Linked DNA regions of Arabidopsis thaliana. The protein of the gene in region 1 interacts with the protein of each later gene in a pairwise test. Each region holds a gene or a part of one and is shown on either strand. Other genes may lie near its edges.

What was found. The genes of interacting proteins can lie anywhere in the genome.
Region 2: the proteins of XRCC4 (region 1) and Pol{lambda} interact in a two-hybrid assay, tested with the Arabidopsis thaliana proteins (one study listed by BioGRID).

The regions. Positions count from the first base shown.
Region 1 is NC_003074.8:8,218,362-8,226,952, forward strand, and holds XRCC4 (DNA ligase IV-binding protein), read left to right. Parts: upstream 1-2,320; 5' UTR 2,321-2,359; coding exon 2,360-2,549; intron 2,550-2,639; coding exon 2,640-2,782; intron 2,783-2,878; coding exon 2,879-3,007; intron 3,008-3,175; coding exon 3,176-3,298; intron 3,299-3,420; coding exon 3,421-3,630; 3' UTR 3,631-3,657; exon of another isoform or gene 3,658-3,787; intron 3,788-4,002; coding exon of another isoform or gene 4,003-6,510; intron 6,511-7,784; 3' UTR 7,785-8,039; downstream 8,040-8,591. Other genes in the region: RLP37 (receptor like protein 37), read right to left, coding at 4,003-6,510. UniProt on the Arabidopsis thaliana protein: May be involved in DNA non-homologous end joining (NHEJ) required for double-strand break repair. May bind to DNA. The LIG4-XRCC4 complex is probably responsible for the NHEJ ligation step, and XRCC4 may enhance the joining activity of LIG4.
Region 2 is NC_003070.9:3,464,071-3,469,955, forward strand, and holds Pol{lambda} (DNA polymerase lambda (POLL)), read left to right. Parts: upstream 1-1,855; 5' UTR 1,856-1,893; coding exon 1,894-2,004; intron 2,005-2,126; coding exon 2,127-2,267; intron 2,268-2,461; coding exon 2,462-2,779; intron 2,780-2,925; coding exon 2,926-3,004; intron 3,005-3,083; coding exon 3,084-3,214; intron 3,215-3,368; coding exon 3,369-3,431; intron 3,432-3,630; coding exon 3,631-3,810; intron 3,811-3,902; coding exon 3,903-3,956; intron 3,957-4,039; coding exon 4,040-4,128; intron 4,129-4,216; coding exon 4,217-4,307; intron 4,308-4,497; coding exon 4,498-4,578; intron 4,579-4,728; coding exon 4,729-4,796; coding exon of another isoform or gene 4,797-4,854; exon of another isoform or gene 4,855-4,896; coding exon 4,897-4,981; intron 4,982-5,079; coding exon 5,080-5,178; 3' UTR 5,179-5,385; downstream 5,386-5,885. Other genes in the region: emb2004 (RNI-like superfamily protein), read left to right, coding at 1-42, 140-270, 388-447, 539-613, 703-807, 907-1,002, 1,098-1,178, 1,270-1,371 and 1 more. UniProt on the Arabidopsis thaliana protein: Repair polymerase involved in base excision repair (BER) and responsible for repair of lesions that give rise to abasic (AP) sites in DNA. Has both DNA polymerase and terminal transferase activities. Has a 5'-deoxyribose-5-phosphate lyase (dRP lyase) activity.

The DNA.
Region 1 (8,591 bases):
CATCCAATCTTATTAATTGCTCATTGATTTTGATTATCCCACACCTAAACTCTTATTGAAAAACACATTGCACCACCCTGGTTTGATATTTAATTTTTAAGATAAGCATCTCTCATTATGTTAAATTATACCTGATATGCCCTTGTTGTAAGTAAGAGTCGAAATCGAATCGGTGATAGGTTCAAGGGTAAAATAGGGGATTTAGAAAAGAAGACGTGGGATGATTGAGCTGTGTGTGATAGAGGTTATGCGCTGAGTGGAGTAAAAGAAAGACTATCCAACGAATAAGTGGGTCGGTCCCATTTGTCTATAAGAGTATAGCCAAACAATAATAATTCTCCAAAAATGGTTACAGAAAAACAATAATTAATTTCACAAATATATAATAATATTTTATATTTTGGGAGATGTATATAGACGTCGTAGTTAGCTAAAGTGAATTAACAAATAGGGTTTGACGTTTTCTAATATTTGTTTTTGTTTAATTGATATTTCTTTCATCCGTGTATTAAAAATGATCACAACAACGAATCTTTTTACAAAATTTCCGAGCACAAATGAAACCTGATTTTGTATCAAATTATTTTTGGAAACATGATTTTCTTTCAAAATATTTTACAAACCAAAAAGACAACTAGAAGTCTGAAGTCTTTAGCGACAAATACATTTGTTAATTAAGATTCTGTGACATCATTAATAGTTTAACATGTACCTTATAATAGTAACCAGTTATTTTCTTATGCTCGAACAATCAAAATAAATTTGTCAATTTGCCAAAAAAAAAATCAACATTACAATAAGATAAATTTAAATATGAAAATCAACTTAAAACATGTTAATGTTTATATGCATATTTCACTAAAGTTAAATCTAAAATAGTATATTTACAGTGATGATGAACACGATTTAATAATTATACGATATCCAGATAATGTAGACTAAGTAAAGAAATGAAGTGAGCACAATTGTAATTTTAAATTTAACATGTGAATAAATTGTACAAAAAACATCTATTGATTAATATTCGATAAATTAGTAATCACTATAAATTAATAAAAAAATTTGGTTTCTAGTCAAGTGAATATAATATTTAACATTATTTGATAAAATAAATAAAGTAATAATTTATTCAAAAATCCTATAGAAATATATGGTTTCATTAGTATCATAAACTAAGAATTGTATAAACTTATTAATATCAATATATGTAAGAAAATTTAGTAAAATATGATTTTAGTATTGTTTGGTTTTTTACGCAGAGTTCAATTATATTATTTTACTACATCAATTTTTTTTGTATTGTTTTGCAGAGTTTAGTTATATGAATTGTATCCTCATCCTGTGTGAAAACTCTAGAAATTGTGTAACCACATCCTTCAGCTTTCTCCTCAATTGATCCGTTCAAATTATGTATTAATGATGTAGCTGCTTTAATTGAAGTCCTAACAATCTACACCCCAAATTCTCAATGATATGTTTGGGATTGTAGTTGGGGATGGACGAAGGCCAACCCGCTGCTCCAATCATAGCACTACGAATGGTGGAAATGTCAAGAATAAACCACTCGGGCTCAATATCGTCCACATTCTCATTAAGATAACTTAATAGGTCGTCATCGTCTTTAAGAAACAAGACTCTAGTTATTGATGAGCGACTGTTAATTTATAGAAGTTTTACTTATTTTAATTTTACATTATACATAAAAAAAATCACGTCATTGTATAAAATCCACTAAGGCGCGACCTGAATAAACTTTAGAAAAAATTTCAAATCCGTATAACTGCATTTCGTCTCATTCACAGTTGCATGAACTCTTATCATACGATTGTGCCATGCCATATTAACATCGTTTATCATCCAACAATAGTGGTGGAGTTACTTTCTTATTGAGTTCAATATACTAAAAAGGAAAACACATAATATAATTTTTTCTTTTAAAAGGCATTTTTATTATTATATGTATATTATTAGAAAAAAGTATGATTAAAAAAATTAAAAAGAAATGTAAGTAACAACATTTAACGGATTTTTTATTTATTAAAGATAAGCTTCGGTTAGGATACAAAATACAAAGATTTGCCAAACTAATTTAGATATTCTTCAATCTTTTGATGAGCTTCAAAGTAATAATTACTAATTAATTTACTGAATGAAAACAGTAATTTGTTAATTTTTAATTACTTGTGATAAAAAAATAAAAAAAAATTAATAATTACTTAAATTGTCTATATGTAATGGGAGTTTTTTTTTTTTAACAACTTCTTTTAAGTAAAATCACTAAATATATTTTAAAAAAAACAATACCGAAGCTGACTCAGCATCCACGTAAGCAAAACCAAAACAAATTATAGACATTATTATGATCGGAGTTGACTCAAAATCTTCGTCGACGACTTTTATCGAAACAATGGTTGAATCGGAGAAAACGAAACACACTTGTCTCCGTCTCGAAATCTCCGGCGCCGATCCAATTTTCGTCAAAGGCACTTGGCATAATTCTCGTTTCGATATCTCCGTCACCGATGGTTCCTCCTCTTGGATTTGCAATGGTAAACAAAAAAACCCTAAATTCACACTATCACTTAGCCTCTAGCGTTTTTCGAATCTGATTTTTATTTTGGTTTTGCTCGAAATTGAAGCGACGGAGGAGGAAGTGGCGGAGAGAGCAGCACAATGGGACCAGCCTGTGTCAGAGTATTTAAAGCTCGCCGAGCAATACTTAGGGTTTCAACAACCTAATTCGGTCTATAGTTTCTCCGATGCTCTAGAGGGATCTAAACGGGTCAGTGATCTTCTTATTGGATCATTCGTTAGTGTTTTGAAGTAAGCCTGAGATTTTTGGATGTTGTTGTTGTCTTTGATTGTGTTTTGGTTAAAGCTCTCTTGGACGTTTGAGAAGGAAGGGACTAAACTTGAGTGGAGGTGGAAATGTAAACCATCAGATGATAGCAAGAAGATCACTGTTGGGATCTTGGATTTTCTTATGGAGGCTAACATAAGGCTAAGTGTATGACTCTTATACTGTACGTTCTGAATTGTGAGGATTTGTTGTGATGTTTGAGAATGATGATGAATTAGAGCTTAAGTTCTTTGATCTATGCTTTGTTAGAAATGGCAATTTGATTTGTGTTTGGAAGATATGTGTCAATCTCTCAATACTTTAGTGTTTACACAGGAAGAAGTGGTGAACAAGACGAGATCTTTTGAGAAGATGAGAAGTGAAGCTGAGAGATGTCTAGCGCAAGGTGAAAAACTCTGTGACGAAAAAACAGAGTTTGAGAGTGCAACTTATGCAAAGGTATGAATTATTCGATCACCTTGGTTACTCTGCTTAATATCCACATCGTGGTTTGTTCTTGCTTAAACTAGAGTCATTGGTTTTTATGATCTGTTAGTTACTTCTTTTTTTTGTCAATGCAGTTTCTTTCTGTTTTAAATGCAAAGAAGGCAAAACTGAGAGCACTAAGGGACAAAGAAGATTCAGTGAGAGTAGTTGAGGAGGAAGAGTCGACAGACAAAGCTGAAAGCTTTGAGAGTGGAAGAAGTGATGATGAGAAGAGCGAGGAAGAAGCCTCAAAAAAGGCAACAAGCAGCAAAGCCCGTGGCGGGAAGAGAGCTGCACGAAGCTAAGAGATTGCCCTGCCGTGAGATTTTCAGGTCAGAGTTTCCATTCCAAGTTTTGTCAAACTCATAGCTAGGAAAATTGTTTGTCAAACCTTCTTTGGTTTAAAAAAATAATTTACAATTTGTATTACTTCTGAAAGTAAATGCAATAACTTAGAGATGGCATGATTGATTGTTAGAAAGCTTCAAGCCCCAAATTGTGATAACTAAGAAACATAGACCATCACACGAACCATATTTTATTACCAAATGGTGAGAAAATATTACAAACATAAAATTACAAAGCAAAAGAAAAAAAATCACAAAGACAAACACATGACGAGGTAGTTTCTCGACAACAACTTAGATGAATTTTTAGAGGAACTGTGAGAGATAGTGTTAAGAAGTACCTATGGTGGTTTTGCGCTTGTTTCGACAAAATTTCGCCATAAGCCACTTGTGCTTGTATGAAGTGAAAATATGTCCAATCACTAATCCACAAAACACACCAGGTCCAAATGCTATTGCAGCTGCTATCCAGTTCAGAACTGTCTCTTCCGGTTCCAACAAAGGTTCCTCGGGGTGCAGCGATGTAGGTATGGGGACATGGGTTTCTCCACAAATTTGATCGAGTCCATAGAGTCTGGGATTACCCATGAATGAAGAACAATTTTGACTTCCAAACTGTGTGCTTTGTGGCACCAATCCCTCTAGATGGTTGTGGGAGAAGTTGATGTTGGAGAGAAACGAGAGTTTCCCGAGACCTCGAGGAATTTCACCTGACAAGTTGTTTCGCGATAGGTCTAGCGTCTCGAGCTTTGTAATACTAGCCAAAGATGGTGGGATGTTTCCTGTGAATGCATTGCCTGACAAGTTGAGATGAAGCAATTCGCTCAATAGACCAATGGATCTAGGGATATGTCCAGAGAATCGGTTTCCAGAAAAATCTATGACTTTAAAGCCTCCAAAGATTTGTTCGAAATCTGTGTCTACTCCTTTATACACCAAATCAATTGAATCTTGATGATTATCATCTCCCATGTAGTTTGACCCTGGTATAGCTATATTTCTTTTGTAATCAAGTGTGAGCATAGGTCGTTGCCATACCGATGACATTTCAGTCCAGTTGGCAAAATAGTCTTGTGGCAATGATCCAACGAAGTTGTTATTCGATATGTCCATGATCCGCATGCTTGGAAAGCCTAAGTAGGCAGAGGCCTTATAGACTGGACCATAGAATGTATTTGATCGGAGCACAAGAACCGTTAGGTATTGTAGAGATCCCAACCAGACTGGAAACGTGTCTTTGATCTTGTTTCCTCTCACATTAAGATATTCCATCCACTCACAGTTGATGAAAGATTCTGGAAGTTTCCCCACCAAATTGTTGAGGCTGACATCAAGTGATCCCAACATTGAGCCATCCATGCAGAAGTCTGGCATAAATCCACTTAGACTGTTGTTTCGCAGATTTAACATGTAGAAATCAGTGGAATTCTTCAAACATTGTGGAATTGAGCCATTAAGATGGTTGTTGGAAAAATCTAAGAAGGAAAAAAATCTGAAGTTGCAGATCCATTGGGGAATTGGTCCTTGGAGGGAATTTGAGCTAAGATCCCAATCTCTTTCTAATGATTCATCCCCAAGTTCTAGAATTCTGCCGAAACTGTTGAAAGAATTATAAGAAAGATCCACTGAATCTAACTTAGAAGATCTCCATATACATTGAGGTACATGACCTTCAAACTTGTTGTAGGAAAGATCAAGGGAACTGAGGTTGACTAATTTTGATATAGAGCTAGGGACTCGTCCTCCGAAATCGTTGTGGCTAAGATCTAAATGTTCGAGATTGACTAATTTAAATATAGAGCTAGGGACTTGTCCTCCGAAGTTATTATGGCTAAGATATAAACCATCGAGATTGACTAATTTCGATATAGAACTAGGGACTTGTCCTCTAAAATTGTTGTGGCTAAGCTCTAAATGTTCGAGACTAACTAATGTAGATATAGATTTTGGGATTAGCCCATCAAGATTGTTGTAGCTAACATCTAACTCTGTCAACTTAGATGACGAAGTGGTATTCCCAAAATTAATAGGTCCTTCGAATTGGTTTTCACTTAAACAAATATCGACTAACGAAGGAATCATGAGCAAGAATGAGGGAAAAGGTCCAAAAAATGAGTTCTCAGACACCCAAAATCGCTCTAAGTTGTGGAGTTGACTAAGGTCAGCAGAAATCGTGGAGTTGAAGTAATTGGAGGAGAGGTCTACAATGGACAAGCTAGTTAAGTTGGATAATACTATATCCCCACCCGTGAATTGATTTTGACGGAGGTGCAATTCAGAAAGCTTTGTTAAGTTGGCAAATGAAGTAGGAATATTACCTCCGAGAGCATTAACCCAAAGATCTATGTATTCTAGTTGGTTTAGGTTACCTATCGAAACCGGAAATTCACCTACTAATTGATTGAAAGAAAGATCAAGATATGTGAGATGAGAAAGATTTCCAATTGAAGAAGGAATCTCTCCTTGGAGATTGCAATGTGAAAGCTCTAGGTGACGAAGATGTCGGAGTTTAAAAAGACTACTGCTAGATTTCAAAGAGGTGTTGGCAATATAGGAAACGAGATTAAGTGATATCACCTCTCCTAATGTAGCATCACATGTGACACCCTCCCAAGAACAACAATCAACGGTCTTGTTCCAAGAAAGTGTTGTTACATGATGGCTCCCGTTGGAATGGATCGGGAACTCTTTTTTTAGCTCCAAAAGAGCATCTCTTTGGTCGCTGCGGCACAAAGACCGTGTGGGAGAAGCGAAAGTGTTTGGTAAGGAAAGAAGAAAGAAAAAGAAAGAGATGGTAATAATAATACCAAGAAAGCAACGAGATTGGTTTCGAACCATCGCCTCTCAATTTTGTTGTTTGGAGACAAAGATAAATTGTTTGTTGAATGGTAAGTGATGAACATGTTTGCTTACACACTATTCTTTATATAAAAAAAATTCTCTGTAAGGAGCTTGACTTGGCAAGTCTTCCATTACATTATTTGTAAGTTAAATCAAGGAGGGAGCTTAGTTTTAGTGCATACCAACCAAAGCTTTAGAAATGTAAAAGCCAAAAAACGCACAAAAAAAATACCAAAAGGAGATAAAAACAAAGATGTATGTCCAAGTAATGTCGTGAGGAATGGGTTTGGAATTACTCAGGTCATGTGGTTGACATATTTCTATATGCCGCAACATCTTTTTCTTTTTATCAATATTTTTGCAAGATTTTTAAGTAATATTTTGTATAATCTATGAATCAGTTTCTTATATAATATAATTTATCATATCATTGTTTTGGTCCATTACTCTTAATTTAGAAAGAGGTAATAATAATATTAAGAAAGCAACCAGATTGGTTTCGAACCATCGCCTCTCAATTTTGTTGTTTGGAGACAAAGATAATTTGTTTGTTGAATGGTAAGTGATGAACCTGTCTGCTTACACACTATTATTTATATAGGAACATTCTCTGTAACGAGCTTGACTTGGCCAGACTTCCATTACATGAGCTTGACTTGGCAAGTCTTCCATTACTTTATTTTAAGTTAAATCAAAGAAAAAGCCACCAATCAAAGTTTTAGGTGTGTGTAAAAGCCAAAAACACGCAAAAAAAAATATACCAAAAGGAGATACTAACAAACAAGTATGTTGAAGTGATGTCGTGATAAATGGGTTTGGAATTATTCAGCTCATGTGGTTGACATCTTTCTTAATGCCGGAACATCTTTCTGTTTTCTTTTTTCATTTTTTGTCAGCATTTTTTGCAAAACTTTTAAGCAATATTTTGTAGAATTAATGGATCAGTTTCTTATATAATTGATCGTATGTATCATTTTTTTTGTCCATTACTCTTAAATCATTTTTCATGTAATGATTTTGACCCTTAAGTTACTCTCAAGTCTCTACAATCCAAAATTTTCACTCGTCCTTTTTTTTTTTTGAAGAAACTTTTTAATGCCCACTAAGTTGTATAAGACGAAGCGTCTAAGTAACGTAGATAGAATATCACTGTTCGATCATTCGTAAACCCTCTAGGTTGATGTTAGTTTAACCATGTTCGGTGGTGGAGAGATAAAGAACCTTGATCGTCCATTAACATTTTAGGCTAAATCTCTTTTTCAAAAATGCAGGAATACATTTGTAATCCTGGTAGGTGAATCGGTGGAGCTTCTTTCCCTAGACGGGCAGATATATTAGTTCAGCAGCTGGAGAATCTCGGCACTCACCTTAATCCGCGGCTTCAGATTCTTCCTCATCGAACCACCAAGAAAATGATGCCATCTTCATCCTCAAAATGTTGAGACTTGCTTTGTCAATGTTTTTTTGATAGAGCATAAGAATTGTTAGAGTACTGATCAAACTTGCTTATTTGGTATCAATACTCTAAAGAATTGTGTGCTTATTAATTATTAATATATTGGAGAAAAAGTAAAAAAACTGTTATAGAAAAGAAGAAAAAACACTGAAGTTAGGTTCAGGTTTCCAAATACATAAGGCTCTCAAAATCATCCCAAAGATTTGTCTGTAAATAGCCGCTTTTAGACAATATAGGGCAAAATGACCCTATAACAACCCCTTGTTTAATATGACTCTTCTCCAAATCGTAAATAGCATTCACTAGACTAAAAGGAGAGGCAAACAAATATGTATGTCTAAATAATGTCGTGAGAAGTGGGTTTGGAATTAAGCGGTTATTCCGATCATGTGGTTGAGATAGTGTCACCTACTCGTCTCTTTTCCCATTTTTTTTCTTTGTGAGGAAATTTTTGTCAATGCAGTTTCTTTCTGTTTTAAATGCAAAGAAGGCAAAACTGAGAGCACTGAGGGACAAAGAAGTTTCAGTGAGAGTAGTTGAGGAGGAAGAGTCGACAGACAAAGCTGAAAGCTTCGAGAGTGGAAGAAGTGATGATGAGAAGAGCGAGGAAGAAGCCTCAAAA
Region 2 (5,885 bases), on another chromosome or scaffold:
AAGGGACTCGTGCTTTGATGGCTGGTCTATCTTCCCACAAAGGTTTTCCAATAGAACACTTGTCATACGTCTATATTAACTCTTCCGTACCTCTACTGTAGAATTCAGTAGTTATACCGAGATGCATTTTCGTGTGCAGGGAAAGTGGCTTTGCTAGATCTCGGCAACAACTCCATTTCCGCAAAGGGTGCCTTCTATGTAGCTGAATACATCAAGAGAAGCAAGAGCTTGGTTTGGCTGAACCTGTACATGAATGATATAGGTGATGAGGTACATATATATCCAATTTATAACAATAATCTGGATTGTGTCTGTGCTTCTCTAATATCGGAAAACCTTGTCTCTTTTTGCTCTGTTGTCTATCTTAAAGATTTTCAATGGTTTCAGGGAGCTGAAAAGATTGCAGATTCTCTGAAGCAAAACCGTTCAATTGCAACCATTGACCTGGTGAGAAGTGACCATCTTCTCCAGCCTCCCTAAGTTTTCCTTGCGTCCATATCGAGCTATTTGTTCTGCTAACACGTTTTTGGTAAAATAGGGTGGAAATAACATCCACGCGGAGGGAGTTAATGCTATAGCTCAAGCTCTGAAAGATAATGCAATTATTACGACGGTCAGTGCCAAAAACCCTTCTCATCTTTGATTCCTTGTTTACGTATAACTAGTATGATAATGACACTACCACTCTCAATATTTCCTCAGTTAGAGGTTGGTTATAATCCCATAGGACCAGACGGAGCTAAAGCATTATCTGAAATTCTCAAGTTCCATGGAAATGTAAAGACGCTCAAACTTGGTTGGTGTCAGGTAAAGCCTGTCCATAACTCTTTATCTAGGAACAAAAGTATTTCTTCACAGTTACTTATTTCGTTTTGTCATGGTTCCTTTCATTTCTTATTCCTGCAGATAGCTGCCAAGGGTGCTGAACATGTTGCAGACATGTTGAGATATAACAATACAATCTCGGTTTTGGACTTGCGGGCAAATGGACTTAGAGATGAGGTTCCTGCAGACAGATTTTATGAGTATCAGATTTGTACTTCTAATATAGCTACGAACTATATGTTTTCATAATGTATGTGGTACGTTATTTGCAGGGAGCTTCCTGCTTAGCTCGAAGCTTGAAAGTAGTTAATGAAGCTCTGACATCTGTGGATCTAGGATTCAATGAAATACGGGTAAAAAAAAAGCGCTACTTCGTTTATCAATACTGTGTCTTCTTTTAAGACTTGTAAGCAGGTCAATCTTATTATTTTGCCTCATTTGTAGGATGATGGAGCATTCGCCATTGCTCAAGCATTGAAGGCCAATGAAGATGTCACAGTTACATCGATAAACCTTGGGAACAACTTCATCACCAAGTTTGGACAGGTAAGAAACATATGGTGCAATGGAGATAATCAAATCTTTCGCTCGACATTGCTGAGAAATTTCCCTTTTGTGTTATCCAGAGTGCGCTCACGGATGCTAGAGATCATGTTCTTGAGATGACTGAAAAGGAAGTAGAAATTTTCTTCTAGGAGAGACATTGAAGTGAAGAAGACTTTGTCACTCTGTAATTTTGCACCATTAGTTGTTGTTTCATTATTTATGACGTTGAAATGATTCAAGCGAGAGATAAAACATTTGTTGTTCCTTACGGTGAGATTTAATTTTAATTCAAGGAAGTTTTCATGAAAAATGGTGTTGACTAACAAAAGAGAGGCATTTTAAGTCAAAGTTGGTCGTTGAATGAGGAAAAAATTCATTCGGTTTAGAACAGGTTATTTCGGTTTGGTTCCGATTCGGTTCGTTGAAACGAGCGTAATTGCCTAATTGGGGTATTCCTGCTTTGAAAGACATATACTAGTTTGGTGGACAAAACTCGAGTGAGTTACGAGTAAAGCGAGAAAAATGGCGGCAAAGCGAGGGAGAAACCGGTCGCCGTCTCCGGACCCGGAAGGGATGTTCGCCGGAATGGTAGTTTTCATGGTTGAAATCGGAGTCCAGCGTCGTCGATTGCAGGTTTTACTCTGAAAATTTTGTTCAGTGTTATTTTACTTGCATCATCTTCGACAAATTTCCTTAACATCTTCTTTTTAATTGTTGCATGCTATGTCTGTAATTTTCTCTCTATTTGAATGAAGATCTGGAAGCAGAAGCTGGTTCAAATGGGTGCAGTGATCGAAGAAGATCGGGTAACGAAGAAAGTCACTCATGTTCTTGCCATGAATCTCGAAGCTCTTCTCCACAAATTTGGGAAAGAACGTCTCTCGCATTTTACAGCAGTAAGTTGGTTTTTCGTTCTTTTCAGTTTTTACTAAAAAATGGATTTCGTCATATAGAAAAAACAATCTTTTATAACTATCTGTTGTGTTGTTCATGAGTTTTCTCTACGATTAGATTAATTGGGTACAAGTTTTATCTACGAATAGAGATTATCCAGTGTTACAAGTTTATATACATTGGTTGTTCCTTGCAGCGCCTTATGCTTTACCAGTGGTTAGAAGATAGCCTAACTTCAGGAGAGAAGGCTAATGAAGATTTGTATGTTCTCAAAATTGACTCAGAAGAAGTTGATAAGCCGAAAAAGTCTTTGCCTGCAATAAGTGGTAGCGAGGATCAATCTTCACCTCAAAAAAGAACCAGATATTCTCCTGATGCTGGTGACTTCAAAGGCGTTGAAAGTCATAGCAATACACAAGGATCACCGGATTCACCAACAAGTTGCAGTGTTCCCTCTACTAGCGCCAGTCCTGGAGAAGGCATCGCAGAGACTCCCACTAGTCCACAATCAGAGGTAAGCCTGAGTGACTCCTTTGCTGATGCATCCTTTTGGTTCTTAGAAGTTAACTAAACAAAAACCTGTTTTCTATATCTGCATTTTCAGAAAGAAATAATGTTGTTGATATTGGAAGTTCTCATTGATCTTCTTTTGATTTGTAGTCCACATCGGTGTACAAACCACCCGATTTGAACAGAAATATCACTGAGATATTTGGAAAGTTAATTAACATATATAGAGGTACAATCTCTGGTGTTTGTATTCTAGACTACTCGCTTATAGTAAGTAAGTAACAATACTCTTTCTTTTTTTTCAAAAGCTTTGGGTGAAGATAGACGGTCCTTTAGCTATTACAAAGCTATCCCCGTCATTGAAAAGTTCCCCACTAGGATTGAAAGCGTTGATCAGCTCAAACACCTCCCTGGAATCGGAAAGGCAATGAGAGATCATGTAAGTTGAGAAATGCTTCAAATGTTTTGTCTAGGTTCTGTGTGTGGGTGTCAAAACTGCAAACACTTACCCTTTTCCTAGTGCATACCTATAACCTTTGTTTTGATGTATTTCTGTGAGAACAAAGTCTTATTCTTCTACCTGAATTTGGCAGATTCAAGAGATTGTGACAACAGGGAAGTTGTCCAAGCTTGAACATTTTGAAACAGATGAGAAGGTAATTTTGAAGTCCTTGGTTATAGTTATTTTGCTATCTCCCATTTTCAATTAGATACAAGCTCACATGTAGAGGCCATTTGCTTTTCTCTTGTTCCTTTTTCTCTTTAAAGAAAAATACTGTCAATGACCGAACTGGAGCTAGAGATGTCTGATATGTTTTGTTTACCACTATAAATGTTTCATTACTATGGTTGAAGGTTCGTACAATCAGTTTGTTCGGGGAAGTTTGGGGTGTCGGTCCTGCAACTGCACTCAAGCTATATGAGAAAGGACATCGCACACTAGAAGACTTGAAGAATGAGGATTCACTAACGCATGCACAGAAGTTGGGGTTGAAATATTTTGATGATATCAAAACACGAATTCCACGTCAGGAGGTGCGATTCTTAAACTTCAACGTGAATTTTGTTTGTCTTTATTATCCTTCTTGTAATTTTCTCCTCATATTTCTTCACTTTCTGTATTGTAGGTGCAAGAGATGGAACAACTTTTACAGAGAGTCGGCGAGGAAACTTTGCCTGGCGTATGAACTATTCAGTTTATCGGTCTGCTCCATATTTGGGTGATAAAAGTTTAGTGAAATCCTAACCAACATCTTTACTGCAGGTGAATATTGTATGTGGAGGATCATATAGACGTGGGAAAGCTACTTGTGGAGATCTGGATATCGTTGTCACCCATCCTGATGGACAAAGGTACCTACAATCTTCTTTCCTCATCTTCCTGCGTTAGTTTCCTGTAACAAAGTTTACTTAAACTGTTTTTTCTTATTGTCCTGACCAGTCACAAGGGATTTTTGACAAAGTTTGTAAAGCGTTTAAAAGAAATGAACTTTTTAAGGGAGGATCTCATCTTCAGCACCCACAGTGAAGAGGTAAGATGATCTGATAAAATTATTTAAGAGAGGATCTCATCTTCATTGAAAACACATTACTTCAGTTGTTTCAGTATCTTATAAAATGATCTCTTTTAGCATTAGATAAAGCTTTGTTCTCTCAGAGTTGCATGTGTAACAAAAATTCTTGTTCAATCACAGCTCCTCAATGATTTCCCTTATTGTGCAGGGTACTGATTCAGGCGTTGACACGTATTTTGGTTTGTGCACTTATCCTGGTCAGGAGCTACGGCGCCGTATCGATTTTAAGGTAACACCTGAAAACTCCTAATGTCACACAATGCAGAAAAGAACTAAGTGGGTTAGTCAAAGATAAAAAGGACAATACCATGATTGATTCAGCTATGTCTAGGTTGATCTCTTCCCGGAAGATCATTCAATAAATAGTCTTTTTTCATAGGTCTATCCAAGGGATATCTATTCGTTTGGACTCATAGCCTGGACAGGGAACGACGTGTTGAACAGAAGGTATGGATATGATTTCATTTGTATACATGTCTCACTAAACACATTTGTTGGTAGATAAAGAACACAGCATATGTATATATATATGCGATGATAACTGCAGGCTGAGATTGCTAGCAGAATCGAAAGGATATCGACTTGACGACACTGGACTATTCCCAGCTACTCACAGTTCTAGTGGTAACCGGGTAAGTAAGGGAGAAAAGTGAATTAACTTGATGTGAATTCTTGGGTTTTAAAGTGAAAGAATGATTATGTTGAAGCTGTGATAATGTTTGTCTCTCAGGGTGCTAGAGGAACTGCAAGTCTGAAACTCTCAACGGAGAAACAAGTTTTTGATTTCTTAGGATTTCCTTGGCTCGAGCCACACGAGAGGAATCTCTAAGGCATCACAGGCACACAGCCTTTGGTACTAAATTTTTTTTTTTTCTTTTTGAATAGGTTCTGTATGTAAGTAATCGGTTCCTTTTTGTAATTGCATATCCATGGACAACTGATTTAGATGTTACATATAATGCAATGCAATGTACTTGTATTAGAAACCATTGCATATCTTTAAGGTAAACTAAGAAAACCTATGGTACTGAGGAAACTTGGGATCTCAATTTTTTTTTAAAATACAATTCCTTTACTAAATAATTAATTACACGTGTCATAAGATAGTTGGATTAAGTGTGGAAATAAGAGTGTCAAATGTCCCACATCGAAAAGCCAGCAGAAAACCAATTTGTATATATAAGGACACAAAAGATAGATGGTCACGACCTTACTTGAACAGGATCTGTTCTATAGGCTCGTACCTCTGTTTCCTTGATTTCTAAGGAGACAGGCCCTAAACCCTGGTTGATGAACCATGACCGTGCGGTCAGAGCGTGATTGATGGCTACGATCGTCTTCGGACGCATCCGGTGCTGTAGAGGATCGTTACTCGGCTTGGTCTTCCTTGCCGGGGTGGTCGCACGGCGGTCTGACAGGTTCTTTTTATTTTACCCTCGGTTTTTTTTTTTTTTTTTTTTTTTTTTTTTCACCCTCAAAACTTTCAATTTCTTACATTTTCACCCTTTAATTGAAACCTCGCTAAAACCCTCAGCT